3 linked regions of the Saccharomyces cerevisiae S288C genome follow. The main gene of each other region encodes a partner of the protein of the gene in region 3 in a complex. Each region holds a gene or a part of one and is shown on either strand. Other genes may lie near its edges.

Region 1 (10,342 bases), on a different chromosome or scaffold from region 3:
AGAACCATACAGGATGATTTCATTGGGCAGAAGTATGTCGAAATTTCAAACAATGTCGCTAGAGTTTTTAGTGAACGGAGGGGATATGTATTTTGCGGCAACAGATGCTGACAGAAATGTTCATGTTTTAAAATATGCGCCAGATGAACCCAACTCTCTTTCGGGTCAACGTTTAGTCCACTGCTCCAGTTTCACGTTGCATTCCACCAATAGTTGTATGATGCTTTTACCAAGAAACGAGGAATTTGGCTCTCCTCAAGTGCCATCGTTTCAAAACGTTGGTGGCCAAGTGGATGGGTCAGTCTTCAAGATAGTTCCTTTAAGTGAGGAAAAATACAGAAGACTTTATGTGATTCAACAACAAATCATCGATCGAGAATTACAGCTAGGTGGTTTAAACCCTCGCATGGAAAGATTGGCCAACGACTTTTATCAGATGGGTCACTCTATGAGGCCTATGCTTGATTTCAACGTTATACGGAGGTTCTGTGGATTAGCTATTGATAGACGGAAAAGCATTGCGCAGAAAGCAGGAAGACATGCGCATTTTGAAGCATGGAGAGATATCATAAATATTGAATTTTCAATGAGATCTTTATGCCAGGGTAAGTGAACAATACATATAAAGGATATTTAATGCTAACTAGCCCGATATATACATCTATCTATCACTAGGCATTCGAGTAGTGAATAAGAACCACTACTTGAAACACTAGATTTGTAACAATAACGCATGTATCATCGTACATTTTCGGAACTATTTACGTAACGCGGGGATGAGGAAAAAGTTACTTTTTGCACAGCAAAAAAAACAAATAAAGAACAGTTAGTGAAATAAAGCAAAAGTGCAAACGGTGCCTTTAATCAAAGACTTTGCAGGAACATAAACAAGTGCACTAAAGAAGGTCCAATTTAAATATGCCAGCTAAAAAAAGGACTAGAAAGACAGTGAAAAAAACCGTATCATTCTCCGATGACACAACATTAACAACGCACCAAAATCGTGAGAAAAAGAACGTAGATCATGATCGTCCACCTGTGTATGTGAGGAAAACCCCTCTGATGACATTTCCATACCATTTAGTAGCACTACTTTATTACTACGTTTTTGTATCTTCAAATTTCAATACGGTGAAGTTGCTAAGTTTTTTGATTCCTACACAAGTTGCTTATTTAGTTTTACAATTCAATAAATGCACAGTTTACGGTAACAAAATCATTAAGATCAATTACTCATTGACCATTATTTGTCTAGGTGTTACATTTTTGTTGAGCTTTCCCACAATGTTATTAACTATATTATTTGGTGCGCCATTAATGGACTTATTGTGGGAAACCTGGCTGTTGTCACTGCATTTTGCATTTTTAGCATACCCTGCAGTTTATTCTGTATTTAATTGTGATTTCAAAGTGGGATTATGGAAGAAGTATTTTATCTTTATCGTTGTAGGGGGTTGGATTAGTTGTGTTGTCATTCCTTTGGATTGGGATAGAGATTGGCAGAATTGGCCAATTCCTATTGTTGTTGGAGGTTATTTGGGCGCTTTGGTGGGCTATACTATCGGTGCCTATATATAATATCGGTAATTTAAAAATTTGTATATAAAAAAATATAAGTATGATAGAGGTAACATAAACTGGTCCTATGCACAATTGAAAAATCTATGACAAAAACTAAATGATCTTTATACCAAACCCACCTATATGCTATTTGTACCATCTTAAAAGAAGGTAATAACTTCCATACAGATAAATAGCTAACAACATTAAATATCTCCCACTCTCCTCATTCTTTTCTTTTCATAATTTCCTTTTTCTGATTTATTCATTCTATATAAAAAAATAATACAAATCCTCAGATTAAATAATAAATACTATAAAAGTCTCAACTTCTTCTTTAATTTGTTTGAGTCGCTTTAGCTACGAATAGCCTCAAAAACTTCGTTGAAATTCTCCTTTGTTAAACCGAAAGTATCCGAATTTGCGTCGCTATCAACAGGAGCTGCTGCGCCTAAAACTCCATTAGAAACTGTGCTATTTTTCCTCTGTTCATAAAAATCCGTTTTTATCAGAGATTCTGAAATTTTACTCAACTCGTGATTTAATTTAATCAACTGCTCTGCAGATATGCCAGAAAATCCGTTATTAATGGAATAATTTGAATCGGCGCTAGTCGTTACCTTATTCTCCTCAAGATTTTTGATATACTTGGAGATTGTCTTAATTTTAATAATCAGATTTTCGATGAGTTTATTTTGCTTTTTACAATTCTTGGTATAATCACTTAACAACATTGCAATTTTGTTGATAATTAAATGAATAACATTTTTATTCTTTATTCTCTTACTATTGTCGTTATTACTATGAATATCTGTTTGCTCACTGATTTCATTAGCATCATTCGTCCTCTTTGAAGAATCAAAAGACCTTTGATAGAGCGCCAAAAGCATTAAAACTAAAGTTTGCAGAACCACAATAGATTTATTGATGAATGTGAATTCATGACCAGCAAATTTAATATTGGCTAAGTTCGAGAAAACAAAGAACAAGGTCTCCCTCGACAATTCCAAAAAGTCTTCCAAAATTTCGTTAAATTTAGCATAATTTTTCAATGTTTCAAATTGCAATAAGAGGTAAAAGTTCAAATATAACATTGAATTCCTGTAGATTAGAGAATCCATGATATTATTAATTATTGAAGGAGTCGTTAAACATCCTTGGCTGACCTCGATATTCTTATTTTTCAAAAGCTTGATTAACTGTATAATTTTATCAATGGATAGTTGTTGATCTTTACTTTGCAAATATTTCATCAAGTTTACTTCAAAATCAATCAATTCAAAATCGTTGTTCAACAAAGGATCAATAATTGGGGTAGAATTTGTGAAAGGTTCAGACATTAGCAACGGCAATTGACCTAAGAAAAGGTGTCTCCAGCAGTAGTTCTTAAATATGAAATTCCAGGTCAAAATATGAGATTGATTTTGAGTTTCATGATTTAACGATAGTAAACATGCCATATGCATATCTTCGTCGTAATCAATTACGAAAGAGGACGATGACGACGTGTCCATCACAAATTGGTAATATTTCCACAAAGAAATAAACCGCAGGGTCTCTATATTACACATTGACCTTTTTTCAATTTCAAATCTAAGCGTTGTTAAATTAGACTTCAACAAAGGCAAGTAGTTGAATAACACATTGAATAATTGCAAGTGTTCATCATCTCTAAGAGGAATCAAAACCGTAGAATTCAACGATTCAAAAAGAATCAGGAGACAGAGAGTAATAAATCCTAGATTTAGTAGCTGATCATTGGTCACACTAAAAACTTGAAAAATAGTTTCAAAATCTTTAGAATTTGGCTTATTAATGGTGTTAGAAGGAAAAAGCTGCTCAACTATGGGTAATAGTCTCTTTGGTTTTAATATTGGAAGTATTGAATTCGTTTCCGTTATCGTGGATAAGTATTTGTTGATAAGGGTCTGTGTTATCGATTGTGAAGGAAACTTTAATATTTGAGATATGCCACTGTTGCGCTCAATACTGTTACGGCTTGCTACCAAATCGTGCAAAGGTCCATTAAATTGCGTTTCAATTAATATATTCAAGTCATTGAAGAATTTGAATAGGAAAGGATCACGTTCAATCAAATACTGAATCTGGAAGATAGAACTTTTATTTATATTTTTTGGTAACAGCCATAATCTGTTTCTACCTTCTTCTGAAATAGCAGAATTAAACACATTAAAAACTTTATTAGTATCCAAAAATTGAGGATCTAAATCCTTAAATTCATTAAGATGAGGTCTTCTTTCACTCTCTGGAATTGGCTTACCGTCCCCGTCCGTAACGCCGTCTTCACTCAGTTTTCTTTTCTTAATTGTCAAAAACTCCTCTTGGTTTCTATTGGAGTGTGAAGACTGCATTTGCGCTGAGGAATCCTGCTTGAGATCAAGATTTACTCCCGTAATTTTCTTACCTGTAATTTCTTGCAATTCCAGTAGTCTGCCTTTCAAGAAATTCATTTCATGATTGATGATTTCATCTTGTGTGTAAGGAGAGGTTAGCATATGAAAAATTGCAGGGCCTTGAACCCAATTGAGTGGAGTAGAAGATTCGTTTGCAGAAGTGACTGGCTTACTTTCCAAGGAAGGCACTGATTTTGGAATATATTGAGTGTGTTGTTGATTCAAGGTTGCATTTGCCGCAGATGATCTATTATTAAGTTGATTTTGAGCATTGAGCAGTTGCAGACGCGTGTTGTATTCTCTTATTTGCTCCAAAGAAGCCAGTTCTGGATTTTTCTGCAAAAGTGCAGCAGTTTCCTTGGAGACACGACGAGAAGCGTAATAAGAGTTTAAGTACGGACCGTTGGCTACTTGGCGTGTATTGGAAGAGGAAGAACTAGAGGGAACGTATTGTCCGGGAACGTCCGGATAAAAGCAGTCCATTTTATTATGCTTCATACAGTTCCCACAAATCGGCTTAACACGATCGCAGCCTATCTTCCTCTTACGGCACTGCACGCATGCAGGCGGTTTTTTCATTTTTCTACCACGAATATCCATCGTTGTTTTTTGGTTCTGAAATGCTATTTTTGTAGATAAGAGCTTAAGAAAATATCACAGAAACCTCGATTTTAAATATCTGCGTAGTATGGGGCAATTGCAGCAGAGCACCAATGACTTTGGTTTGAAAGCCGTGAGTTTTGATGAAATAATCTAATGTAAGCAGCTAATATATCTTCTCGGGCGAAAACGGGAAAGTGGTCTTACAAGCGTCTAACGGGCCGAATGAATATTGGTGAACTATGGCTATTTGCGAGAAGGTATAGCAGTGGAAGTGTCCAGAAAGCAGTATGTTCCTAATAATAAAGGTAGTTCTTGGTCTGTGTGATCCCAGCTGGTCAACAAGACCCACGTTGGTCAATTGAAATACTCTTGTGAAGTTGTGCCAGAAAAGGGCCATAGGGTAACATACTCGTTCTATGTGATAATCAACTGTTATAAGCACTATATAGTTACATAGCTGGCCTATACATCTCCTGAATAGTGATGCAGTTTAGAGTTCATCGTGGGCTGCTTCGCTAGCTTCCGCTTTGATCTCTTCCTGTAGCTTGGCGGCGTCTTTATTGTCCAAAGGAACAGTTTCCAGTTCACCACTTTCCACAATAATAACTTCCTTTACAGGCATATTTCTACTGTCGGTCTTAACGTTTTCAATGTAGTGAACTACGTCCATACCATCCAAGACTTCTCCAAAGACAACGTGCTTACCGTCCAACCATGGGCATGGGACGGTGGTGATGAAAAATTGGGATCCGTTGGTGTTTTTACCACGATTGGCCATAGACAATCTGCCTGGTTTGTCATGTTTGACATCAAAATTCTCATCTTTGAACGTGTTTCCGAAGATAGACTTACCCCCAATACCTGATCTGTGAGTGAAATCGCCACCTTGAATCATGAAGTTAGGAATAACGCGATGGAAGATAGAGTTCAAATAACCCATCTTAGGGTCCCTGGAAATGGTCAACTGGTAAAAGTTTTCAACGGTTTGGGGTGTGGTGAGACCATACAATCCCATAACAATTCTACCAATTTGTTTATCACCGTGATTAATGTCAAAGTAGACCTTGTGTGTGATCTCAGGATCTTCTGCCGTGTCCTCTTTCGCAAAAATGGCTGTTGTGAAGAGACAAGCAAATAAGGTAATAAAGGAAAAAAATTGAAGCTTCATAATTGCGGATATCGCTGTGCCTTTTGTTTATTGAATTGAAAGTAACCTTTACTGTTGAGTCTCCTCGAGGAAAGTAGTAAGGATGGTTTCATCTTTTTTTTCCTCTGCTAAAAGGGATTCGCTGCGAAACGAAAATTAACTTCCCTACTATTTTTTATATCGTAAGTATGAATCTATTATTTATTGAACTATAACCATTGTGTTAAACCAGGATCAGAAGATACAAATTCTTCTAGTCTGGCTTGAAGATCCTCAGCTTCTTTTTTCATTTCGGTTAAAGCTCGAACCTTCCTTTGACTGTCTGGCTTCAAGACATTAGGACCTTGTGAGAGTTCATCCCCGTCTACAGTGGCCGATGTAGAGTTATTTTTTCTTGCTTGCCTACCACCAACACCCAAATATTCGTCTCTTCTTCCTTGCCAATCAGTCAAAGTCCCATTACCATCCCAATGATCTAATTTATCGTATATTAAATCCCCTACATTGTTTATTTTATAACGTGGAATAATGTGTGTATGCAAGTGGGGTACCGACTGTCCGGCCTCAGGTCCATCTTGGATGGCAACGTTGATAGAGTCAGCCTTATATTGCCACTTAATAAATCTATGTATTAACTGTAAAGTCTTGAAATAATCTTGAGATTCAGGCATGGTCAGATCTGATAAGTTTAAAACCGTAGTTCTCAGTGGAACGATCAGTACATGTCCGGGTACAATTGGTTTCAAGTTTACCAATGCATACGTATATTTTGACTTCTGTAAAGAAGCAGAGATTATAAGGTCTCCATATAGTTAGTAACGCAATGGTGCGAATGGGGTACAAAAAAACATATGAGAGTGCATACATAGAAAACTTGTTCAGTTACAAGAAACTTGCTGAAATATATTGGCTTATTCATGCTTTTAGGTTTCTTTGTTTTGCTTAAGATCATTCTGAGCCCAAGATAGATCAATGGAGCTTCCTTTTTTTCTTCGCTTCTTACAATTGAGCAGAAAAGAAGATTCGACCATATCTTGAGAAACGTATAAACCAGGAAAATTACACATTCTAATTGGTGTCAATGGCAAAATATATGCAAGTTTGCATGTAAAATATTTTTTTTAGGCCGGATAAAATAATTCTTCCTAATAGTGTCTAAAAGAAAACACTGACTCTTATAAAACAAACAATGAACATTTTAATAATTAAGATATAAACTGCCATCTTGATCTTCCAAAGAGACTACCAAATCAGCGACTTCATCGCTTTTCATGTTCCACCCCAGCTTGGGAGAAACACAAATATTCTTTAGGCAGGGCAGCCTGGATTCCAGTATGGCTATAGTCAAGTCATCGGGATGAATCTTAGAAGCTAATCCCAAGGATCCGCTGCATTCTAAGTACAATGTTTTAAGAGGCCTATCATATTCCACCAATTTACTTAGCATGAATTCAGAAAAGCACCACTTAGAACAGTAATCAACCATGAGCTGCAAAGAAATTAAATTAGCACAGTACGTGAAGACATGGTCTAGGGAATTTTCTGCCAGAGATGGCATCGGATAATGAAAAAATAAATGCTTTAAATTATCACCGATCTGTGATAACAACGAATAAATAGACAATTCCGTTATTTGAGGACAATAAGAGAATTCTAAAGTTGTAATAGTTGTTGGCCATTTCGTATCAATCACAAATTCATTTGTTATACCTCCACTCAATTTCAAGTACCTGAGATTCTGTGGCCATTGAATATCTTGGAACCCTTGGCAGTCAATCGACGATCTGGGAAAAGATAAATGCGTTAATTTAGTGAAATTTTTAATGGCAGAAAATAACTCCTTCAGCTTAACTGTTTCCGATACTAAACCCAAGTCTAAAAATTTCAAATCATGACACGATTTCAATGAAATCAAAGGCGCGTAACCAAAGCTTGTCTGTGGTGCGATGAATTTAGTTAGGTTAGAACAGCATCGTCGTAAAAGCTTGGAGACAAATGAATTTCTACCACTTTGTAAAATTGTAGACAAGTTCAACTCAAAAACATAGTGTCCTAAATTCTTCTTTTTATTTATGATTATTGTATCAACAAACCCGTTGAAATTCTTACTTGTTAACGCTGGTGCATAATAAAGCTTTGGTAGACACATGGCGTACCAGTTTCTGCAAACTAGTAAGTAGTTCATATTTATACCAGTCGTAGTTTTTTTTCCATTAGCAGTTTTATTTAATTTTTCTTCTTTCTCTGGTATATCAAGATAATGAATTATTCTATGCTGTATCTCCCATGGCAAAACCATCTTTACTGATACTGAATGCATCCTCGCTTCCTCACTCTCTATGACTTTGCCATTTTTTTCTCCTTTGGAGGACGATGTCGATGATGACGATGGCGACTGCTTACGTCCTTTTTTATCCTTTTTTTCATTACTCAGTCGTGTCAATTTCACTATAGTATCATTGGTTTCATCATAGTAATAAGACCCCTGTGGAGTCTCAATGAGTTCTGCATCCTCCGGTATAGTGATAGTGAATTCTTTAGCCTTATTATCATTTCTTGTAGAGGAGAAACCCTCTCCCGCCACGTACTTCCTGTAAGGAGCCTTGATTTTCTTGGGTCGTGATTTGTTTGCCATTACTGAGTACTGTGGTTGATATGATTATGTGTTAGAGCTGTTGCACATGTTTGTCGATGTACAAATCTTGACGATGCCGTCATATTACTCTCAATACTAGACACATCTTGTATTGACAACCCTTACCCCTCATGAAGAGGTAACCCGGCCGCAGGGCTTTAACAATAAAATAGAGACTATCATTCAACAATTACACAGTAGAAAAAAGTCAGAAGATTACTAATCTCGATCTTAAGTCTATTAGTCAATTAAATGTGGCCTAGGATTCAACTAAAAATATAGTAGTAGTGAAAAAACAAATGTTCCAACCGAGGATCGAACTCGGGACCTTTGCCGTGTGAAGGCAACGTGATAGCCGCTACACTATTGGAACAATATTACGGATGACAGCTTAGGATTCATAAAGAACTAATAAAGGTGTGGCAATAAAAATGGTGCAGCAAGTCTCAACTTTACTGCTTCTTATAGTTACTTCCTGTCGTTTTCATCACACTAACCCTTTGTTTCATTGTGCTCCCCTTCCCTTCCTTTCAATATTGCTTCCTACATCGGTCACTCTTACTTTGGTAATGAAGTAATGAAGAAAGGAAAAATAGAAAATCGAATACTAAAAATGTTATTATTTAAGGAGAATAAGAACGTAGACACTTAAGGGCGATAGTGTTTGAACAGAAAAAAATTAACTTACAAAACATGAAGGACTTGAGATTACAGGGGCCCTACAGAAAGTACATTCCCTATAATATTTTCCAACAATGTGGAATTGGTCACTTAAAGACGCTTGATTATATTTTCGCGTTTTTGATTGTTATTACCAATTTCACATTAATATGGAAATCGCACTCTTCTTCATTCTGGAACCGACCATGGGACAATAATAGTGAACAAGAACTTTCCCAATTAATTCAGTTTTACCTAGACAAGGCTTTTTACATCCATGAATTGCCACCATTTACAATACAGTTCTACTCCATTATTCGAAGATTAAAGATCGCAGAAAATTTAAGATACGTTTCTTTGTTTTTGAATTCATCGACTTTAGGTTTTCTTTTCCTGATAACAAGGAGAATCAATTGCTCTCGTTTAATTTCAGCAACAGGTTTGCTGATATTATCCAACTGGGAAACTTTCAGAAATGAGGGCACTATTATATCATTTGACAGTTTAGAATGGTGTCTGTTCTCAGTAGTAATTTACAGTTTTATAAGCATTTCAATTGCAAAACTGGGAACTACGAATTGGTTTGCTAATGTGATTACATTATCTATTTCTTTAGGGCTGGCAATCTCTTCTAAATTTATTGGAATTGTCACTTGGGCCTTCGTAATTCTTTCTTTTGTACGTCAATTTGATAGACTGATAAGCGACGTTAAAGTTACGACCATCCAAATAATAAAATTTGTCATTCTCTGTCTATTATTCGTTTTGATTATCCCTGGTTCCATCTTCATAATAAGTTATTCGAACTTACTTTCGAATTTTAAGACAGACACGCCACAATTTTCAAAATATATGAGCACATATTTCAAGTCCTATTTAAGAGGCCCTCAAGTACAACCGAGTCGATTGTACTATGGATCAACGATCACATTACGTCATTTAGATTCTATGGTCGGATATCTTGCTTCTCACGATATTTCGTATCCATCAGATGTTGACGAACAGTTAGTAGCGTTATCATTTGAAGAATTCGCGGCAGACAATGAATGGTTAATAGAACATCCTACATTAAATTTGAGTTTTTCTGAGGTATACCATGCTGATCAATTGATACCTGTAGAATTTGGTCAAAGTATAAAACTAAGACACAAATCTACTGGAAAATTATTGAGAGCCAGCACTGCTAAACCTCCCATCAGCGAGCAGGACTATGACTTTCAAATTTCATGCACGAAAGATTCAAACTACGAAGGAGGAATGGATGAGAGATGGGATGTTCTCCTGATTAAAGATGAAATCAACAATGATAAAAAGGATAACGCA
Region 2 (10,342 bases), on a different chromosome or scaffold from region 3:
GGTCCGGTCAAAGCATTAATAAAGATCAACAATTGCTCTTGCTTATCAAGGTGCCAGATCTCAAGGTTACCTCATTTCTTTACATTTCATCCACATTTTAGCACACTTATTTATTATTACAATTTGAAAAATTGTATCACTTCTGAGACTTAGTAGCGGAGATAAACAGCCGAACAATTGTATTTGACACATAAACTAATAAATATACAACAATGTTATCAAGGGCCATATTCAGAAATCCAGTTATAAATAGAACTTTATTGAGAGCCAGACCTGGTGCTTATCATGCAACTAGATTGACTAAAAATACGTTTATTCAAAGTAGGAAGTATTCTGACGCACATGATGAAGAAACCTTTGAGGAATTCACCGCAAGATACGAAAAGGAGTTTGATGAAGCCTATGATTTGTTTGAAGTGCAAAGAGTGCTCAACAACTGTTTTTCCTATGATTTAGTTCCTGCTCCTGCTGTTATTGAAAAAGCTTTGAGGGCTGCCAGAAGAGTCAATGACTTACCTACCGCAATTAGAGTATTTGAGGCTTTGAAATACAAGGTGGAGAATGAAGACCAATACAAGGCCTACTTGGATGAATTGAAGGATGTCAGACAAGAATTGGGCGTTCCCTTAAAGGAAGAGCTATTTCCAAGCTCTTCTTAATAATAAGGAAAAAGCTACCACACAACGTCTGTAATTTGTTGTCCTTTTTTTATTTGTGGAAAATTCCTCAATTTGAAATAAGATTCGTATTTATTTTGTAAAACGATTTTAGTTTTTATTTTTTTTTTTTCTTCCCTTTTACCTTATTATTTGTTTTACCCTTTATGGATATTCATCCACTCAGAAACTAATATATCAAAATCAACGATAAGATCACAAGAGGTGAAATAAGAAAAGTAAAAGAAAAATATTTAAATTTAACCATTATGATTTCCACTTTGTTTTCTCTACTCTATTACTTGAACAAACTTTATTTTTGGTAATGAGGGCTGGTCACAGATTACCTTTAATATCCTTTGTTAGTAGCTTTTTTGTGTTCTATTTCAGGAAAGAAGAATGGGAAAAATAATAAAACAATAAATAACTATATAAAAAACAAAAACCTAGAATATACCATTAAAGAATTACTATTCTATTCTGTGCTTCACCGTTGCGTCAATAAATGTGAAGTTGATGTCACTTCATACTAAAAAAATTAAAGACAATTTCCTGAAAAAAATTTTTCCACTGGAGCTCATCGCAAATTTTGAAAAGTAACAAAAAGCGTTTGTATACTGCATAAAGAATAGTGTCTGTTTTATAAGAAATATTAGACAGCAGGCAGATAAACCTACGTTCCAGACTATAAAGTATAAAATGGCTAAAAAGAGTAACTCAAAGAAATCTACGCCTGTAAGTACACCAAGCAAAGAAAAGAAGAAGGTTATTGAAAAGAAATCTTCCACAGCCATTCCTAGGGAAAGAGTTATTAAAGCTGTCAACGAGCTTATAAAATTCACTTCCAAGCCACAAGATGAAAATAATGAAGAAGGAAATAACGGTAAGAAAAACCTATTGGAAGATGATGAAGAAGAATTGAAGAAAGATCTGCAATTAATCGTAGTAAATAATAAATCATTCACCGGTACTTCCAAATCATTCAAATTGAAATTACTAAATGTCAAACATTCGTTTTACAAGCCTTGGAAAGAAGCCAGTGCAACAGCGGTTAAGGATTTCAAAGTTTTATTAATTTTGAAGGATTCTGATATTAAGAAAGTTTCAGAAGATGATTTATTTGATCAATTAGATTCAGAAGGAATCAAGGTTGATGAAATCATTTGCGGGAAAGACTTAAAGACCGTTTACAAGGCATATGAGGCTAGAAACGCTTTTATATCTCAGTTTTCTTTGATTTTGGCTGACGACAGTATAGTTACATCTTTGCCAAAACTTATGGGAGGCAAAGCCTACAACAAAGTAGAAACTACTCCTATATCAATTAGAACACATGCAAATAAGGAATTTTCCTTGACCACTTTGACGAACAATATCAAAAAGGTTTACATGAATCAGTTGCCCGTTAAACTTCCAAGAGGTACCACGTTGAATGTCCATTTGGGTAATTTAGAATGGTTAAGGCCAGAAGAGTTTGTAGATAACGTTGAATTAATTTCTGAACAGTTAATCAAAGCATACCAAATCAGATCCATTTTTATCAAGACCAATAGGTCGCCCGTATTGCCATTATACTATAACCAGGACGTTCTTGATGAACTTGAAGCTAAAAAGGACAAAATCGAAGAAACCCACGAAGATGACATGGTCACCATTGATGGTGTACAAGTTCATTTGTCTACCTTCAACAAGGGTTTGATGGAAATCGCCAATCCTTCCGAATTGGGTTCAATTTTCTCTAAACAAATTAACAATGCAAAAAAGAGATCTTCTAGCGAGCTTGAAAAAGAATCTAGCGAGTCAGAAGCTGTCAAGAAGGCTAAAAGTTAATTTGTTTCCTCCTTATCTATCTTTTCTCTCATTTTTTTCTTGTGAAGAAAAAAATTTGAATTTCATAGAGTGCGGTGCATATGTATATATCTATATATGTTTGAAGTGTATATTAAAAATAAAGTCATTATTTGAATATTGGTTTCTCGGTCTAAGAGCTTATACGTTTTAGACTGATCTGTTGTACTATCCGCTTCAAATAAATAGATCATTGAAAGTGACGGGGATAACAGCATTTTACCTTTAAAAGACGTTCTCATAATACATTTTAGGATTAATACATATGCTTTTTTTTTATTCGAAATCTGGGGATTCTATACAGAGTTGTAAGTTAGGCAAACTAGAATTTGGTAATAATATTTTATTCTTGGGGCGACATATGGAGATACTTTATTTCCTTTTCTTAATTATTAACGTATACCTATAAATTAACAAAGTATCTAAACAAAATACATAAGTGTACTCAAACTGAGTAGAATCGTCGATTAAACTTCCTTCTCCTTTTAAAAATTAAAAACAGCAAATAGTTAGATGAATATATTAAAGACTATTCGTTTCATTTCCCAGAGCAGCATGACTTCTTGGTTTCTTCAGACTTGTTACCGCAGGGGCATTTGTCGTCGCTGTTACACCCCGTTGGGCAGCTACATGATTTTTGGCATTGTTCATTATTTTTGCAGCTACCACATTGGCATTGGCACTCATGACCTTCATTTTGGAAGTTAATTAATTCGCTGAACATTTTATGTGATGATTGATTGATTGATTGTACAGTTTGTTTTTCTTAATATCTATTTCGATGACTTCTATATGATATTGCACTAACAAGAAGATATTATAATGCAATTGATACAAGACAAGGAGTTATTTGCTTCTCTTTTATATGATTCTGACAATCCATATTGCGTTGGTAGTCTTTTTTGCTGGAACGGTTCAGCGGAAAAGACGCATCGCTCTTTTTGCTTCTAGAAGAAATGCCAGCAAAAGAATCTCTTGACAGTGACTGACAGCAAAAATGTCTTTTTCTAACTAGTAACAAGGCTAAGATATCAGCCTGAAATAAAGGGTGGTGAAGTAATAATTAAATCATCCGTATAAACCTATACACATATATGAGGAAAAATAATACAAAAGTGTTTTAAATACAGATACATACATGAACATATGCACGTATAGCGCCCAAATGTCGGTAATGGGATCGGCTTACTAATTATAAAATGCATCATAGAAATCGTTGAAGTTTGCCGTAGTAATACCCAGATTATCAGATTCCAAATCCTTGTCAATAATTATACTCCTTTGGACAACTTCTCTTTCCATTAAAAAATCTGAAATCTCCTTAAATTTTAAATAGATTCTGTTCAGTTCACTAACGGGGAATTTCAAGAGAACATTTTTGTTCTTCGCCGACTGACTATAATCTGTAACATTATTGTTATCAGAGTTTCTCGCAAAATTTTGTTTTTTCTTGCTAAATCTCAGCATATATTTAATCAGATTCAAAACCTTGTTGAAACCTTTAATAGATTTGAAACTTCCGTTGCTATTCATTTCATCTCGTAAAAAGGATACGATAATTTCTATTTTTTTTAAAATTTCCAAAATCTTGTCATGAATCAATAGCAATTGAACATTAATCTCCTCATTTGAAAGATTTTTGTAAAATTCGTCATATAATATTACTTCACAACGTTGGAAAATAGCAAATGTGATTGCTATAAAATTCTGTAAGATTTCAATAAAATGATTTGCGAATAAAAATTCTTTACCATTAGAATGAAAGCGATTATTGCCGCTTGAAAATGACTTTATCGACTTTATGGGGAAGATAAAATTAAATGTTATTGAGTAAAAAATGTGCATATTAGAAATAATTTTCATCAGATCCTTTGCACATCTTTCAGAGTTCGAGGTCTTATTGTTGTTAGAAGAATGTTGAACTGCCATGGACAAAGAGGATTCGTTTTGAACAAAAAGGAAAAAATTTGTATAAACAATGGTATTGATAAAATTTAAAGTGTCTTTCCATTCTTTTCTGACTTCGTTGTCATGAAAATATAAGTCTACTGTATTACTCACGCCCATAGTCAAGGTTTCTAACAGACTTTCAATTTTGGTTAAATTTACTGGCAAGTAGAAAGGAACACCTTGCAGAATATTTATCAATTTTGCTTGCGTTTCCAGTAATTTTAAATCGTTAGCAATTAAAGGAATGTCGTTCGTATCAATAGAGGCAGGTATCGGAGATAGGTTTTCAGCAGCGGGTACCATGAATAGCTTTTTTTTTTTTTTTTATTCGAAATCTGGGGATTCTATACAGAGTTGTAAGTTAGGCAAACTAGAATTTGGTAATAATATTTTATTCTTGGGGCGACATATGGAGATACTTTATTTCCTTTTCTTAATTATTAACGTATACCTATAAATTAACAAAGTATCTAAACAAAATACATAAGTGTACTCAAACTGAGTAGAATCGTCGATTAAACTTCCTTCTCCTTTTAAAAATTAAAAACAGCAAATAGTTAGATGAATATATTAAAGACTATTCGTTTCATTTCCCAGAGCAGCATGACTTCTTGGTTTCTTCAGACTTGTTACCGCAGGGGCATTTGTCGTCGCTGTTACACCCCGTTGGGCAGCTACATGATTTTTGGCATTGTTCATTATTTTTGCAGCTACCACATTGGCATTGGCACTCATGACCTTCATTTTGGAAGTTAATTAATTCGCTGAACATTTTATGTGATGATTGATTGATTGATTGTACAGTTTGTTTTTCTTAATATCTATTTCGATGACTTCTATATGATATTGCACTAACAAGAAGATATTATAATGCAATTGATACAAGACAAGGAGTTATTTGCTTCTCTTTTATATGATTCTGACAATCCATATTGCGTTGGTAGTCTTTTTTGCTGGAACGGTTCAGCGGAAAAGACGCATCGCTCTTTTTGCTTCTAGAAGAAATGCCAGCAAAAGAATCTCTTGACAGTGACTGACAGCAAAAATGTCTTTTTCTAACTAGTAACAAGGCTAAGATATCAGCCTGAAATAAAGGGTGGTGAAGTAATAATTAAATCATCCGTATAAACCTATACACATATATGAGGAAAAATAATACAAAAGTGTTTTAAATACAGATACATACATGAACATATGCACGTATAGCGCCCAAATGTCGGTAATGGGATCGGCTTACTAATTATAAAATGCATCATAGAAATCGTTGAAGTTTGCCGTAGTAATACCCAGATTATCAGATTCCAAATCCTTGTCAATAATTATACTCCTTTGGACAACTTCTCTTTCCATTAAAAAATCTGAAATCTCCTTAAATTTTAAATAGATTCTGTTCAGTTCACTAACGGGGAATTTCAAGAGAACATTTTTGTTCTTCGCCGACTGACTATAATCTGTAACATTATTGTTATCAGAGTTTCTCGCAAAATTTTGTTTTTTCTTGCTAAATCTCAGCATATATTTAATCAGATTCAAAACCTTGTTGAAACCTTTAATAGATTTGAAACTTCCGTTGCTATTCATTTCATCTCGTAAAAAGGATACGATAATTTCTATTTTTTTTAAAATTTCCAAAATCTTGTCATGAATCAATAGCAATTGAACATTAATCTCCTCATTTGAAAGATTTTTGTAAAATTCGTCATATAATATTACTTCACAACGTTGGAAAATAGCAAATGTGATTGCTATAAAATTCTGTAAGATTTCAATAAAATGATTTGCGAATAAAAATTCTTTACCATTAGAATGAAAGCGATTATTGCCGCTTGAAAATGACTTTATCGACTTTATGGGGAAGATAAAATTAAATGTTATTGAGTAAAAAATGTGCATATTAGAAATAATTTTCATCAGATCCTTTGCACATCTTTCAGAGTTCGAGGTCTTATTGTTGTTAGAAGAATGTTGAACTGCCATGGACAAAGAGGATTCGTTTTGAACAAAAAGGAAAAAATTTGTATAAACAATGGTATTGATAAAATTTAAAGTGTCTTTCCATTCTTTTCTGACTTCGTTGTCATGAAAATATAAGTCTACTGTATTACTCACGCCCATAGTCAAGGTTTCTAACAGACTTTCAATTTTGGTTAAATTTACTGGCAAGTAGAAAGGAACACCTTGCAGAATATTTATCAATTTTGCTTGCGTTTCCAGTAATTTTAAATCGTTAGCAATTAAAGGAATGTCGTTCGTATCAATAGAGGCAGGTATCGGAGATAGGTTTTCAGCAGCGGGTACCATGAATGAAGACTGACCTAGAAGCGAATGTCTTGAGTAATACATTTTTTTCAAAAAATGGAATAACTTGAAATCTTTTATCTGGAAGCTTAACAGACAGCTCAAATCTTCGTCTAAACTTGATTTATGATCATCATGCATGTACAGAGATTCATAAAATTTTGTGATGGCAATAAATTTGATTGTCTCTTGGTCATAATATTCCAGGTTTATCAATGTGATTTGGCTTCGAATCAACCTCAAATTATTCATTAATGCCGAAACATGGTTATTAATAGCCTGCTTATTGAATAGGGTCATTGAATCGTTTAACAACAGTAGAAGCACAGTTAATTCGCCTAGTTTGGTCAGTTGAGATAAAGGAAGATCGACCGTTGAGAATGAAGGACAGGTATCACCATTTGGAAAAGAGTTATGAACAAATTCTAGTAAGAGGGTTTTGTCAAAGATTGGCAAAAATTCTTCAATATTCAGATTGTTAAGGGATTCAGAGTTTAGTGTCTCAATAATTATTGCTTTTGGTGGGAAGTTAACTTTGCAAACTTCCATATATTGTTGGTGATTTTTATTGTTAGGAGGACTTACTTTGAACTGATTAATATGGCAGATATCGTGCAAAATATTATAGAACTTGAAAAGATAATGATCTCTAAAAATGATGAAGTTTTTAGTGAAAAGGTAGTTGGGGGTATCCTTCAACGGTTTCACTTGGACTAAACTTTGCACATCTGTTATTGTGAGCGCTGTAAAGTATTTTTGTGAGGACTGAGAAGTCCTTGAAGTCTGATGATCAAATCCGGCTCTTTTACCGTCAACCTTGCCTTTCTTAGAATTCTCACCTGTTTTGTTAATTTTGTTTGCCGTGGTATTGTCGGCATTTAAATTCGATTTTTCTTTCAAACTTTTCAGTTGCAAGCTTTGTAAATCAAGCAATTTGTTTTTTAAAAAGTCTATCTCCTTGATTAATACTTCCTCTTGAGTAAACGGAGAAGTCATTAGATCGAAAACGGCCGAGTCTTGATTGATACCAACATTAAAAGAGTATGGGTTATCTGTATAGTCAAAACTTTGAGCGTTAACCAGTTGTAATCGTGTGTTATATTCTCTAATCTGATCCATGGAGGGCACATCTGGACTATCGCTTCTCACAATAGTGTTTCCATGAACATTACTACTAACGGTACTACTATTCTGACGAGGAGCAGTATTATTATTGGTGTTATTATTCTGGTAGCTAGCGGCCTTGGTCCACTGCATCGCAGTATCCACAGAGGGGTTGAACGAGAAGTTGAATGCCTCTATCGACGTTTGCATAATCGGATACTGCGTTTGAATCATTACGTTTTTCTGATTTACACCGTTTCCCTGACTAAAATGGTTGGAACCTTGGCCATTGCCGTGCGTGGACATCCCGGACGCAGAGGGCACAGCGACCATCTTACCAGGTCCATCTGGATAAAAACAGTCCGGCTTGTTATACTTGACGCAATTCCCACATATCGGTTTTGCCCTGTCGCACCCGATCTTTCTCTTCCTGCATTGGGTGCAAGCAGGCGGCTTCCTCACTTTTCTCACTTGCATGTCCATCATGATTAAAAACAAACGGCAAAGCTACGCACTAGTCACAGCAGACAACGACAATGCTCCTCTCATAAATTGCTAAGATACATTAAAAACAACAACTCTCTTCTTGTTCTTCCTCTCTTTGCATCATTCCTGCAAAATATCACACTACACGAGCTAGGATGTATAACCATCCTTAGTAGGACGCCAAGGTTATATTCAAAATGATATGATTTCCCCAATTAATACTTGCTGTTGCATTTTGAATCGGATGTAACTGGGACTAATGCTGCGCTAACCAGACGTACGTTCCGGTGGTCACAGTGCGGAACTGTTCCCACGTTCTCTAGTTAATTTACCTTTAACTATACATACTGAAATTGATATCTATGTATATAGTATGAAATATTGCATATACTCAAGAAGAGAGCTCAGGCGTCCACTCACCGCATTTTGCGATCTTGACCGCCTCGAGAGGTTTGTCATTCGCATCTCTGGACACGTGCTGTATGTAGTTCACCACATCCATGCCGTCCACAACCTGTCCAAATACCACATGCTTTCCATCGAGCCACGACGCTTCTTCCGTAGTGGTGATGAAGAACTGAGATCCATTGGTATCTTTACCACGATTAGCCATCGATAGTCTGCCCTTGCGATCATGCTTCAAAGTAAAGTTTTCGTCAGGGAAAGTATCTCCATAGATGGATTTGCCACCAACGCCAGTGCCGTCTGTGAAGTCCCCTCCCTGTACCATGAAGTTGGGAATCACCCTATGGAAAGTGGACCCGATGAACCCCTTTTTGGAATTAGTGGTGGTGCTTAACTTGTAGAAGTTCTTCGCCGTCTTAGGACATACCTTTCCGTACAACCCAATAACGATTCTGCCAACTTTCTCTTCACCATGTTCAATATCGAAAAACACCTTTTGTGTAATTACTTCGTCGTCCTGATCAATCAACTCACCCACATCAGATGCAATAACATTAACGCTAAGGAATAATAACAACCAACACCACAAGCCACTGAATTTCATTTTGTTTTCCCTTCGTGTCTTTTTCCTCTCATTTCTTTCCTTTTGGGGGAACTTCTTATGATGGGTACATCGATTTTTGAAGAAAACTGAAAAGTTGATTTCGCGGGGTTTTATAATATAGTACAAAGATATATGCAATTGCCATGGCAGTTCTCATATGTAGTTTGGGGTGGATCGAATGCTTGTGACCATTAATTTGTCCAACATCTCTGTAGTTATACCCATGTTACCGTTGCCAGTACGACCGGTACCGTTGTCTATAGTTTGTCCTCCTGTACCCATAGTGTTGACTGTCATGTTGACATTTGTGGTTGAGGGAACAGTCGCCATATTGGCACCGCCGGTAGGTCGTACACTGCTCTTGTTACTGCCCCCTCCAGCGTTGTTCCCGTTGGTGGCAGCCGTTGCAGTCGTGCTAGTGTCCGTAGGTACTTTATAGTGTACTCCTTGGGAAGGTTGAAACTCAATCAAGTCATACAAGCTCTCCAATGTGCTATTTAGATGGTAGCTCGTGGACATCAGCCTACTTTGCACAATTTTAAAAATTGTTGGCGATTGGTAAATGTTTGCACCAATTATGTAGTAGTCTTGCAATGGAATAATCTCTGGTCCCTTAGCGCTTCCCACACCAGAATTGTTTGTTCGTCTTTGCTTCCTGATAACCCAGAAGTCAGGCTCTCTTACGCTGCTCAATACGTATTCAGTACCATCTAACTTCATTAATTCCTCCTCCAGTTGCATATACATAGGATACTTGAAAAGGATTTGTCTTCTTGCCGGATCCACATAGGCAAACTCCTCTTCCAAGTTTCCATTCTTCCCATCTGGTAAGGTCATTATGTTTTGTGTCATATTCACGGCAGCATTAGGATCATTTAACTGGGAAAACTGCCTTTGCATTTTAATTACCTGATTATTCGACGTCTTATCGAAAAATGGTGATTCTGCAAAGTAATCAAGAACATTCTCAGTTCTCAAACCAAAAACTTGA
Region 3 (10,342 bases):
ATATCAAAATATAAACATACATTAGTCAAAAAAGACTTGATGAGCTTTCATGAAACTAAAACAAAGATAATTCATTATTTATCTTTGATTCCACTACCGCTGACACTATTTATTTCTTGTGTTTCCGTTTACGACCTGGTTGCGCCCTTACCACAGGTATGCTACCATTATAGTTTGTTTGTAATACTGGAAAGGCCCTTACATTGTTTATAGGAACCTTGGAAACCTTCTTTGCTAAGATAACCTCCTTTAGTATTCTTTTCACTTTGAAGTATAATTCTCGTTCCTCCGTAGTAGGCTTCAAAACTTTATTTAAAATCCTCTCCTTTCTAAGTCTTTTAAGTTTTAAGAGAGAGTCTGAAACCAACTTATCTGGTGTGCCATTTCGAAAGTTCTCAATTTCGTCATCTCCAATGTAATTAGATGGTGTCCAATTATATAAGTTTTGAAGCTTGATTATGAATTGTTCCTTATTCTCAGTACTCTCTGAATTTGCAGAAGCGATAGTCGCATCATTATCATTATCACCACCATCGTCCTGAACGCCATTGCTTTTGCCGTCAACATTTTTGTTGTTTTCATCGTTCTGCTTCCTGTTTATGCCTTCTTCATTCGTGTTCAGTAATTCTTCTTGTTTTACTTTCTTTTCATTTTTTTCATACAAGTCCATATAACCAATTCTTTCAAGCCAAATAAGACCCCTTGTTGTCGAATCCACAACGGTGCCGTTTTCATTAAAGGAAGGTGCCCAAGAATTATAATTACCATATTTTAGCCAGACGGTTGTAGGTAAAGCATACCAATTTGGATGCAAAAATCTAGTCATCATTTCAGTTGGTGGTAACGTAGGGTCCGGAATATTACTAGTATTAGCGCCTACAAATCCTAATCTTGGAGCTTCGTTTTCTATATCAGTTTGAGGTAAGACGTTGTTTATTTTGAAGTTTGTATTAGGAAGTTCATGAGGTCTTTTGTCAAGATTAGATTTAGAAATTATCGAAGAAAAAAGGTCCATATCCTTCGTTCTTATCTGATATGTTTGAGAAATCGGCACTGTGTAATTCATAGAAATCTTAATAAAATCATAAGAGATTATTTTGTCTAGTTCTGTTGCATCGTCATCGTCGTATTCATCCATCTCGTTTCCGCTCAACAACTTACCACTTCTTGATTTAATATTATTAGTTTGCGTTAGAGCAATTCCTATCCTACAACATTCTCGTAATAAAAGCTCTGAAGAAAATTTGTAGAACTTGTCGACTAATTGGTAGTTTCTTGTACCCTGAGGATAAAAGTGAATGAGGATTGTACAAACCAGCTTAATGTCGTGATACAGCTTATAAAACCCACCTTGTATGGGTTCGTACTCTCCATTTTCAAACCTCTTATTGATAGTTGTCAAAACTAATTTATCTTCATTACGTATCAAACCTTCAGAGTTACTTCTATTTTTAATGAATTTACAATATGATTCATATATCTTATCCGGATTTTTCTCAAAGAACTTGGCTGGAAAACTTTCATCTACTACATGACATTTCACAGAGGCAGCATTCAAAATGGATTGAACATTTACCAAAAAATCTACTAGTTTATTTCCACCTACACTTTCTGTCATAATGAAAACTTTCGATTTTCAAAATTATCTCTTATTTGATCCCGACTGATGATGATTTTCTTCGTCTTCGTATTTCTATCGTCCATGCCTTATGGCGCTGTTTTATTTTCTTAATTGTTTTTTTAATAATTGCAACTTAAAAATACGGGTAACGGAAAAGGAAGATAATAGAAGTTGCATGAAGTAGCTGAAGAATAATTAGTTCTTTCGGGTTGAAAATAATAATAAATAAAGTCTTTATATATGAGTATGTGGTATGACTATTCAAACAGCATCTGGATTTCTTCAATTCTCCTTTTTCTTCTCTCGTCTTCGTCTGTGTCCATGGCCTCACCGATGGTTCTCTTCTTTTCTTGAATGCGTAGCATTTTTTCTTCTATGCTATCTTGTATGATAAATCTCATAACTTTGACGCTGTTTGTCTGGCCAATTCTATGCAGTCTATCGATTGCCTGATCTTCCATACTGGGCGACCACCATGGGTCCATCATATAAGCGTGGGAAGCACACGTTAGATTCAAACCCACGCCACCAGCCTTCAGCGAGAGTAATAGGATTTTTTGCCTGCTATAGTCTTTAACGGCAAAATCTGCTAATACACTAGTTCTTTCTTTTAATGAGAGACGTCCATCGAATTTATAAATTTTTGCAACATCTTTTGAGAAAGTATGAGTTAGCTCTTTCTCCAGGATATCCAAGTATGTAGAAAATTGGGAAAAAATGACAACTTGTTCGCCTGCCGAACTATCCTGTAGCAATTGAAGCTCCTTCAATAAAGCAGTGATTTTGCTTGATTTGGAGGCTGGTGAATATGGTTTGAATTCCAAATTTTTCGAGTTGCTATTCGTTTGTACCAATGCCAACAACCGACAAGCGTCTATTTGGTTACGGCAATTGGGGCACTTTAAACCCAAATTCTTACTGTTCTGAAACTCAATATATTCAAATAAACATTTCTCACAAAAACTGTGGCCGCATTCTGTAAATAAAGCCTTGTCCAAATCCATAGGTTCCGTTGTGCAGATGGAGCACTCTAAGGACTGAAACGATTTATTGTCTGGATATTTAACTTTTAATCTTTGTATCATTGCATCTAATTCCTCCTTAGAAAATGAGTTATCGAATCTCTCGGAAACAACACGCATTAAAGAGTCAAGCTCCACCGTTTGTTCCGTAACCAATTTATTATTTTTAGATAAATCCTCATCGTTCTCATCTTGACTCCCAATAAGACCGGGATGGCAACAGACTTGCCTCAATCTTAAAATATGGACAAGGATAGTGGAGTACTTTTTCAATAAATCACCGCGTGCAATACCCGATTTAACAGAAACTTCAGCCTTATCCAACAGAAACTTGTATAGAAGATCTTGAGATTTACTGAAGGGAAGTCTTTTAATAACGACCTCCTTTGGTGGCAACTCTACTAATGGCTTACCATCTTTATCTTTCATTTGTTTTGTCCTTCTTAACAATACGGGTTCCAGAATTGCATTCACCACATCAAATGCTTGTTTGTAATTTTTACTCTCAAAAGGCGTTGATACAAAGGTCTTCCAGTAATTAATTTGCCGCCAGGGATCTAACTCTAAAAACTTAACCAGACTGTATAAATCGTCAAGCCTGTTAATAATTGGTGTTCCTGTTAAAACCCATTTACATTTGCCTTGTAAAGCCATGACTGCTTTAGATGTAACTGTCGTTCTGTTTCTAATGTTATGACCCTCGTCGATTATTATGCGATAAAAATTGACAGAAAATAAGCCTGAAGATATATTGACGTCCTCATCTGTCATCCTTCCCTTGGAATGTTTAGTCCATTCATTTTGAACAATACCATATGTAGTAAGGACTACAGTTGGAGGGGTTTTTGTCTTGGTTAATAGGGTTTTCAAACTGGAAACATTCCCACCATAATACACCTCATGATACATATCGGGGGAATTATTAGCTTTTGTAAACTCGTTACTCCACTGCGTTAACAAAGACATTGGGACCACGATTAGCGTTGTTTTTGAAGCATATGGTTTCTTATTATCTTGCCAAGTGCTTGGAAGATTATCTGAGACTGCTGTGTTCTCAATATCAAACAGTTTCTTGTCAACAACATCACTATCGTGAGGACAAGATAAAACTAAAGAATACGCTGCCACTGTTTTACCCAACCCCATTTCATCTGATAATATGCCACCCTTTATCATAGTTTTTAATATAGGTTTTGCTAGCGAAAATTCACCAGAATGTAAGTTCGCATAAAAGAATATGCCATCTTCAACGTTTACATGGTCCTGCTGCAAATTTTGAGCTGCCCACGACATATCATTTGGCCATTTGAACTGCTTCCATAATGGGTTTATCATATTAGCACCCGTTTCTGAAGCCTCACCATCAGAGGCTGCTTTGGCAAACTCTTGCTCCCTCCTTAGCATCCAAGTAAGACCTTGCTTTTGATAATTTCTTAGTTCTAGCTTGAAGACATCGCGAGAAGGTTCTGTTTCAGGCAAACTTTTTAAAGATTCTGATGATTGTGCGGCCTTATAAAATGTTTTCAATTGATTCAAGTTCATTGTTTCTTCTTCGTGCTGAGTATCTCGGAGATTGTTATGGACTTCAGTCACTTGATTAGAGCAAATCTCGTCGTTATCTAAATCAATGATTTCGGGGTCACTATTAAGCTCTATTTTATGCTTTTCTAATGCCTTCTGCTCGTCCAAAATAGGCTTTAGCCTCAATTTATCAAATAACTTTAGTAGAGCCAGTCTTTTCGAGCGGCTTTCTAGCTCTTCATCAGTTTCAGTCAATGTTCTTCCAAAATTTCCATTGTCTTTCTCTCTTTTATTTCCTCCCTCTGTACGTCTTCTTTTCATCAAGGATTCTCCATCATTACGTTCCTCAAAAATGAGAGATGTTAAAAAGCAATCCAATTGTAGAATAAAGCTATCACCTATACTCAACCGTTTATTATCACAAAAAATCAATGTAACTTCAAAACTTATTTCGTGTGAACTTAAAAGAGGGTATAGTATTTGAGCAATGTCTTCCGAAACTCTGCCAATTTCTCTATCATATTGGATATCAAAAATTCTTACCAAACTAGCCATGGACGCTTTCTTTCTACCACGTGAGTCATATACTTTAGTAGCAGAAATCTCTTCACTTGATCTCTTTAGCTTCATCTGAGAGCCGTACTTCAAGGGCCTGACGGTGGGTCTGGTAGCCATACCAGTGACTTGCAAAGCACCTATAAATCTTTTCCAAGTAACTTTATCTTCTAATCGTGTTTGGTTTCTGAACCCGTATATTCTTCTTCTTTTAGGATGGAATGAAGATGGGGACAAGGTTGAATTTGAGGTATCTGAGAGTGTATTTAGTTGATTCGGGGAAGACGGTATTTTGCTGATAGACGTCCCGCTATTGTGATCAAAGTAATGTGATAATGCTAAAGAGAGCCCTTCCTCCTGACTGCCGAATTTTTCATTAAGTTCCATCACAAGATCCTTTGGCATTTCTGGAATAATCCTTAAAAGCTCTGTAATAAACTGATTCTGGCCTTCTTCTTCTATTTCTCGCCTGACTGGCACAATAGATCGGTCTCCCTCTCCTTCTGTTGTATCACTCACTGATACAACAACATCATCATCATCATCATTATGACTATTTGCAAATAAAAACGACTCTTTATTCTCAGATTTGAAGTTTAACGATGTTTCTGAAGTGTCAAGGTCATCGTTAAAAAACCTCTTCCTTTCTTCCTGTTCAATATGACTCATATTGTGATACTGTAAGACTTTAGGTGTGTTTCTAAGGCCTTTTGATAATGTAACTTTGTAGATAATTTACTTTCAAGTGAGCAATGCGCTTAGCAGTAAGGAATAATGTGTGGAAAAGTTAAGGGTTTATGACGCGTAAAATTTTCAGCCAGACGACGCGCCAACTAACATGTAAGAAAGTAATAATTTATGAAAATTTAACTACTTATTGATTACTTAATCTTCTAATACAAGTATTTTTTGTTTCTAGAATAGAATTCAATCTATTTATCCGTGCAGAAAGGTCCAGAATGAGGGGTTTTACTTCATTTTGATTTACAAAGCCTTGCTCTTCTGCAGTTAATCTTTTGGATTTCTCTCTGATTATCTCAGAAAGAAACTCTATTATCACTGAACTTTTCTTTCTTCTCTCATTTTCCAACATCAGAAAAAGCAATTCGTTGTCAGTGTCCTGCGATAAAGTTCTTAACTTTTTCTCCAGGTCTTGTCTTCTTTTGATGGACTCTCGTACCCGAAAGCAAAGATTATTTAGTTTGGCTAATTGAAAATTTCTTTCTTTAATAGCAGCTAGCTCGCCTCCTTGGATTAACTCTGATGCAGATTCAAATTTAGATTCAAAGCTCTTTTCCAAAAACTGTAAAGTGTTCCATTTATCCCTTAAGGGATCATCATGCTTTTCAAATTCAAAGGCATCTAGAACATCAGAAACCTTAGTACCATGAAAGTCGATATTGGGATAAGAAGTTCTCGTATTTAAGACCGGCATAATAGGAGTTACTGGAACTGATGTGTTTACAGATGTAAAACCATCTGTTTCACTCAACTTCTTTTCAAGTTTGTTAATATTATTCTTAGCTTCAGCCTTCCTATGCTTATTTAGTATGTTTTCGAGGCGTATAATCTCAGTGATTAATCTGTTTTGTTCCCTTTGAAGATTTTTTTTTTTTCCTTCATCGAAGCTACCTTTATATTTTGGGCTGCTGAGTCAAACCGTTCTTCGCCAGATTGCAAATCCTCTCTTTCAGTCAAATTACCACACGTACTAATCTCTAAAGGGCTATGTTCATCTTCACCCGGTTTTAACGAAACGAAGCTGTCAGAAGAGCGTTTGTTTTCCGCCAAAGAAGTGTTTTTAAATGAAGAAAGCTCAGAATTGATATTGCCCTGCTCCAACACTTGTATAGGGGGGGTCTCTTCAAAGGAGAACAGGCCATACCTTTTGGAATCTCCTTCAGGACTCTTTTCATGTTCACTAGTCAGGTTTTCTCGGACATTCTGCTCGTTAAGATTATCAACTTCACCCAGGAGGCCTTCTCCCCGGTTACGTGCCTCCGATTTTACGTCACCGATTGACTTTATGCTATTCTTTCGAGACAATGGCCTCTTTTTAAAGAAAGTACTCACTCTCTTGATTAACCCAACAGAATTTTGACACTCTTCATTTGGATGTTCCTCAAAACTTAATCTCTGTTGAGCCACATTTCCTGAATATCTTTGAGTTGAGTACTCTTTATTTTGCCAACAATCATGGATAACCGGATGCTGCGGCAAGTCCATGTCCCGAAAAGTATTAGCTACCAACGTCATCTCGACATGGGGAGCGGGCTTTGTGATCATTTGTTTTGGAATCGAATAATGGATAATCCTTTTTGGAATGATCGGTGTCTCTTGAACATACTCCATAATTTGTTCACCTTCCATCTCATATATTACATATAAGGCCACACACAGACACAAGCTGAAACGAAAATATCTATAAATATACACTTCTTAATTTGTATTCAAGATATTCTTATCAAAGCACTTATTTTTTCATTATATTTCTATATTGATTTAAGGACGGTACGCTATTTTCTTTGTACCTTTTACTATGCATAAAAAAAGGGGAAGTGTTTAACAATCGACACTTACTTAATATGTTTTGCCGCCCTTCATAAGAGGGTGTTTCTAAAATTTATTGGGCAAGAATGAGATGGACTCGCACCCTACATGACGTTTAAATATTTAGTGTTAAGGTTCAGAACATGCACCAGGTGCGACATGTGTTGCGATTATCATGACAATGTCTCTATCCGAGATGCATTTGTAGTATCAATTGATGCGTATTATGACATGATTTACATAGCATACATCGTCAAACATGATATTATATTCTTTTTTTGATAAATGTACGGATTTAAAGCTGTCGAATATATTTTCTGAAATTTCTTGGAGCTGACGCAAAATTTTCAAAGGTGCTAAAATTTTTCAAGATTTCTCACTTTTGCTTGGTAACAAAGAATGATGGCATTGCATTTTTACCACCGGTACATTTAACTGCTATTTCTCACGTTTCTTTCCCTATCCTTAAGTAATTCTTTTACAATCTAAGAAAACCACGATCAAACAAATAAATCAGCAATGGGTGCCTACAAATATTTGGAAGAATTGCAAAGAAAGAAGCAATCTGATGTTTTGAGATTCTTGCAAAGAGTCAGAGTCTGGGAATACAGACAAAAGAATGTCATTCACAGAGCCGCTAGACCAACTAGACCAGACAAGGCTAGAAGATTGGGTTACAAAGCTAAGCAAGGTTTCGTTATCTACCGTGTCAGAGTTAGACGTGGTAACAGAAAGAGACCTGTTCCAAAGGGTGCTACTTACGGTAAGCCAACTAACCAAGGTGTCAATGAATTGAAATACCAAAGATCCTTGAGAGCTACCGCTGAAGAAAGAGTTGGTCGTCGTGCCGCTAACTTGAGAGTCTTGAACTCCTACTGGGTTAACCAAGATTCTACTTACAAGTACTTCGAAGTTATCTTGGTCGACCCTCAACACAAGGCTATCAGAAGAGATGCTCGTTACAACTGGATCTGTGACCCAGTTCACAAGCACCGTGAAGCTAGAGGTTTGACTGCCACTGGTAAGAAATCCAGAGGTATCAACAAGGGTCACAAATTCAACAACACCAAGGCTGGTAGAAGAAAGACCTGGAAGAGACAAAACACTTTGTCCTTGTGGAGATACAGAAAATAAGCTGGTTGATGGAAAATATAATTTTATTGGGCAAACTTTTGTTTATCTGATGTGTTTTATACTATTATCTTTTTAATTAATGATTCTATATACAAACCTGTATATTTTTTCTTTAACCAATTTTTTTTTTTATAGACCTAGAGCTGTACTTTTATTCTGCTATCAAGCAAACCCCTACCCCCTCTTCTCAATCCTCCCCTCAGGCAGAACTTATCTACCTGTATCAAGGAGCGGACGAGGGAGTCCTAATTGTTCTACGTATACCAATGCTAGCAGCTTACATAGGTGGTGGCACTACCATAATACTTATATATAATATCTTTACGCTCAAGTAAATTTCTCCGCCGCATAAATTAACACCATGTTCTTTTTAGTCGCACCTTATTTTCTTGTATTTTTTTTCTTTCCTTTTCTTCCCGTTTTTCCTTATTAGAGCCATTAGATAAAACTCAAGAAAAGCAAAAGAGAGGGCTATTTCCACTTTAAGAATAAGCCTTAATAATTGGCAAATAGATCGTCCTTTTTTCCAGTTTTCAGCATTTGTGTTTTTTTCTTGCTCTTTTTAGCGATTAGATAACATTCAAGATCTAATCAATACCCCATTCCAAACAAAGAATCCAAATATACCATAAATAGGGACAAAAAACAAAAGAGCTAAAAATGGGCAAATATACCAAGACTGCGATCTTGTCAGTTTATGATAAGACAGGTTTATTAGACTTAGCCAAGGGATTGGTAGAGAACAATGTTCGTATCCTAGCATCCGGTGGTACGGCCAACATGGTCAGAGAAGCTGGTTTTCCGGTCGACGATGTTTCTTCAATTACGCATGCACCAGAAATGCTAGGGGGTAGAGTCAAGACTCTTCACCCTGCTGTGCATGCAGGTATTCTTGCCAGAAATTTAGAGGGCGATGAAAAAGATTTAAAAGAGCAGCACATTGATAAGGTGGATTTTGTTGTATGTAATCTATATCCGTTCAAAGAAACTGTGGCTAAAATTGGTGTTACAGTTCAAGAAGCTGTAGAGGAGATCGACATTGGCGGTGTGACTTTGTTGAGAGCAGCCGCAAAGAACCATTCCAGAGTGACTATTCTTTCAGACCCTAATGACTATTCTATCTTTCTGCAAGACCTGTCTAAGGACGGTGAAATTTCTCAGGATTTAAGAAATAGATTTGCACTTAAGGCGTTTGAACATACGGCCGATTATGATGCGGCCATTTCTGACTTTTTCAGGAAACAGTACTCCGAAGGGAAAGCCCAATTACCGCTAAGATATGGTTGTAATCCCCACCAAAGACCTGCACAAGCTTATATCACTCAGCAGGAGGAGTTGCCCTTCAAAGTGCTCTGCGGTACACCAGGATATATAAATCTTTTGGATGCCTTGAACTCATGGCCCTTAGTGAAAGAGTTATCTGCATCATTGAACTTGCCTGCGGCAGCATCGTTCAAGCACGTTTCTCCAGCAGGTGCTGCTGTGGGACTTCCATTATCCGATGTGGAAAGACAAGTTTATTTTGTGAATGATATGGAGGATTTATCACCATTGGCATGCGCATACGCTAGGGCCCGTGGTGCAGATAGGATGTCATCCTTTGGTGATTTCATTGCATTGTCCAATATTGTAGATGTCGCCACTGCAAAAATCATCTCTAAAGAAGTTTCCGATGGTGTTATTGCTCCAGGGTATGAACCAGAGGCATTGAATATACTATCTAAGAAGAAAAACGGAAAATACTGTATTTTACAAATCGATCCAAACTATGTTCCTGGCCAAATGGAATCCCGAGAGGTTTTTGGCGTAACGTTACAACAAAAGAGAAACGATGCGATCATAAACCAATCCACTTTCAAAGAAATTGTCTCCAAAAACAAAGCACTTACCGAGCAAGCCGTTATCGATCTAACTGTTGCTACGCTGGTTTTAAAATACA

What was found.
Region 1: RSC58 (region 3) and RSC3 share a complex: the UniProt entries of both Saccharomyces cerevisiae proteins name them as parts of the two forms of the RSC complex.
Region 2: RSC58 (region 3) and RSC30 share a complex: the UniProt entries of both Saccharomyces cerevisiae proteins name them as parts of the two forms of the RSC complex.

What each region holds. Positions count from the first base shown.
Region 1 is NC_001136.10:1,066,813-1,077,154, forward strand, and holds RSC3 (Rsc3p), read right to left. Parts: upstream 4,575-10,342; coding exon 1,917-4,574; downstream 1-1,916. Other genes in the region: cleavage/polyadenylation factor CFT1, read left to right, coding at 1-613; mannose-ethanolamine phosphotransferase GPI11, read left to right, coding at 919-1,578; peptidylprolyl isomerase family protein CPR5, read right to left, coding at 5,068-5,745; HNT2 (bis(5'-adenosyl)-triphosphatase), read right to left, coding at 5,934-6,500, 6,590-6,676; PFU1 (Pfu1p), read right to left, coding at 6,923-8,359; PMT7 (putative dolichyl-phosphate-mannose--protein mannosyltransferase), read left to right, coding at 9,053-10,342. UniProt on the Saccharomyces cerevisiae protein: Component of the chromatin structure-remodeling complex (RSC), which is involved in transcription regulation and nucleosome positioning. RSC is responsible for the transfer of a histone octamer from a nucleosome core particle to naked DNA.
Region 2 is NC_001140.6:209,493-219,834, forward strand, and holds RSC30 (Rsc30p), read right to left. Parts: upstream 8,343-10,342; coding exon 5,691-8,342; downstream 1-5,690. Other genes in the region: YHR050W-A (uncharacterized protein), read left to right, coding at 1-153; COX6 (cytochrome c oxidase subunit VI), read left to right, coding at 213-659; CIC1 (Cic1p), read left to right, coding at 1,356-2,486; YHR052C-B (uncharacterized protein), read right to left, coding at 3,027-3,200; metallothionein CUP1-1, read right to left, coding at 3,043-3,228; YHR054C (uncharacterized protein), read right to left, coding at 3,693-4,757; YHR054C-B (uncharacterized protein), read right to left, coding at 5,025-5,198; metallothionein CUP1-2, read right to left, coding at 5,041-5,226; peptidylprolyl isomerase CPR2, read right to left, coding at 8,734-9,351; mediator complex subunit MED6, read right to left, coding at 9,505-10,342. UniProt on the Saccharomyces cerevisiae protein: Component of the chromatin structure-remodeling complex (RSC), which is involved in transcription regulation and nucleosome positioning. RSC is responsible for the transfer of a histone octamer from a nucleosome core particle to naked DNA.
Region 3 is NC_001144.5:200,037-210,378, reverse strand, and holds RSC58 (Rsc58p), read right to left. Parts: upstream 1,619-10,342; coding exon 110-1,618; downstream 1-109. Other genes in the region: DNA helicase RAD5, read right to left, coding at 1,879-5,388; YLR031W (uncharacterized protein), read right to left, coding at 5,594-6,154; YLR030W (uncharacterized protein), read right to left, coding at 6,298-7,089; 60S ribosomal protein eL15 RPL15A, read left to right, coding at 7,789-8,403; bifunctional phosphoribosylaminoimidazolecarboxamide formyltransferase/IMP cyclohydrolase ADE16, read left to right, coding at 9,064-10,342. UniProt on the Saccharomyces cerevisiae protein: Component of the chromatin structure-remodeling complex (RSC), which is involved in transcription regulation and nucleosome positioning. RSC is responsible for the transfer of a histone octamer from a nucleosome core particle to naked DNA.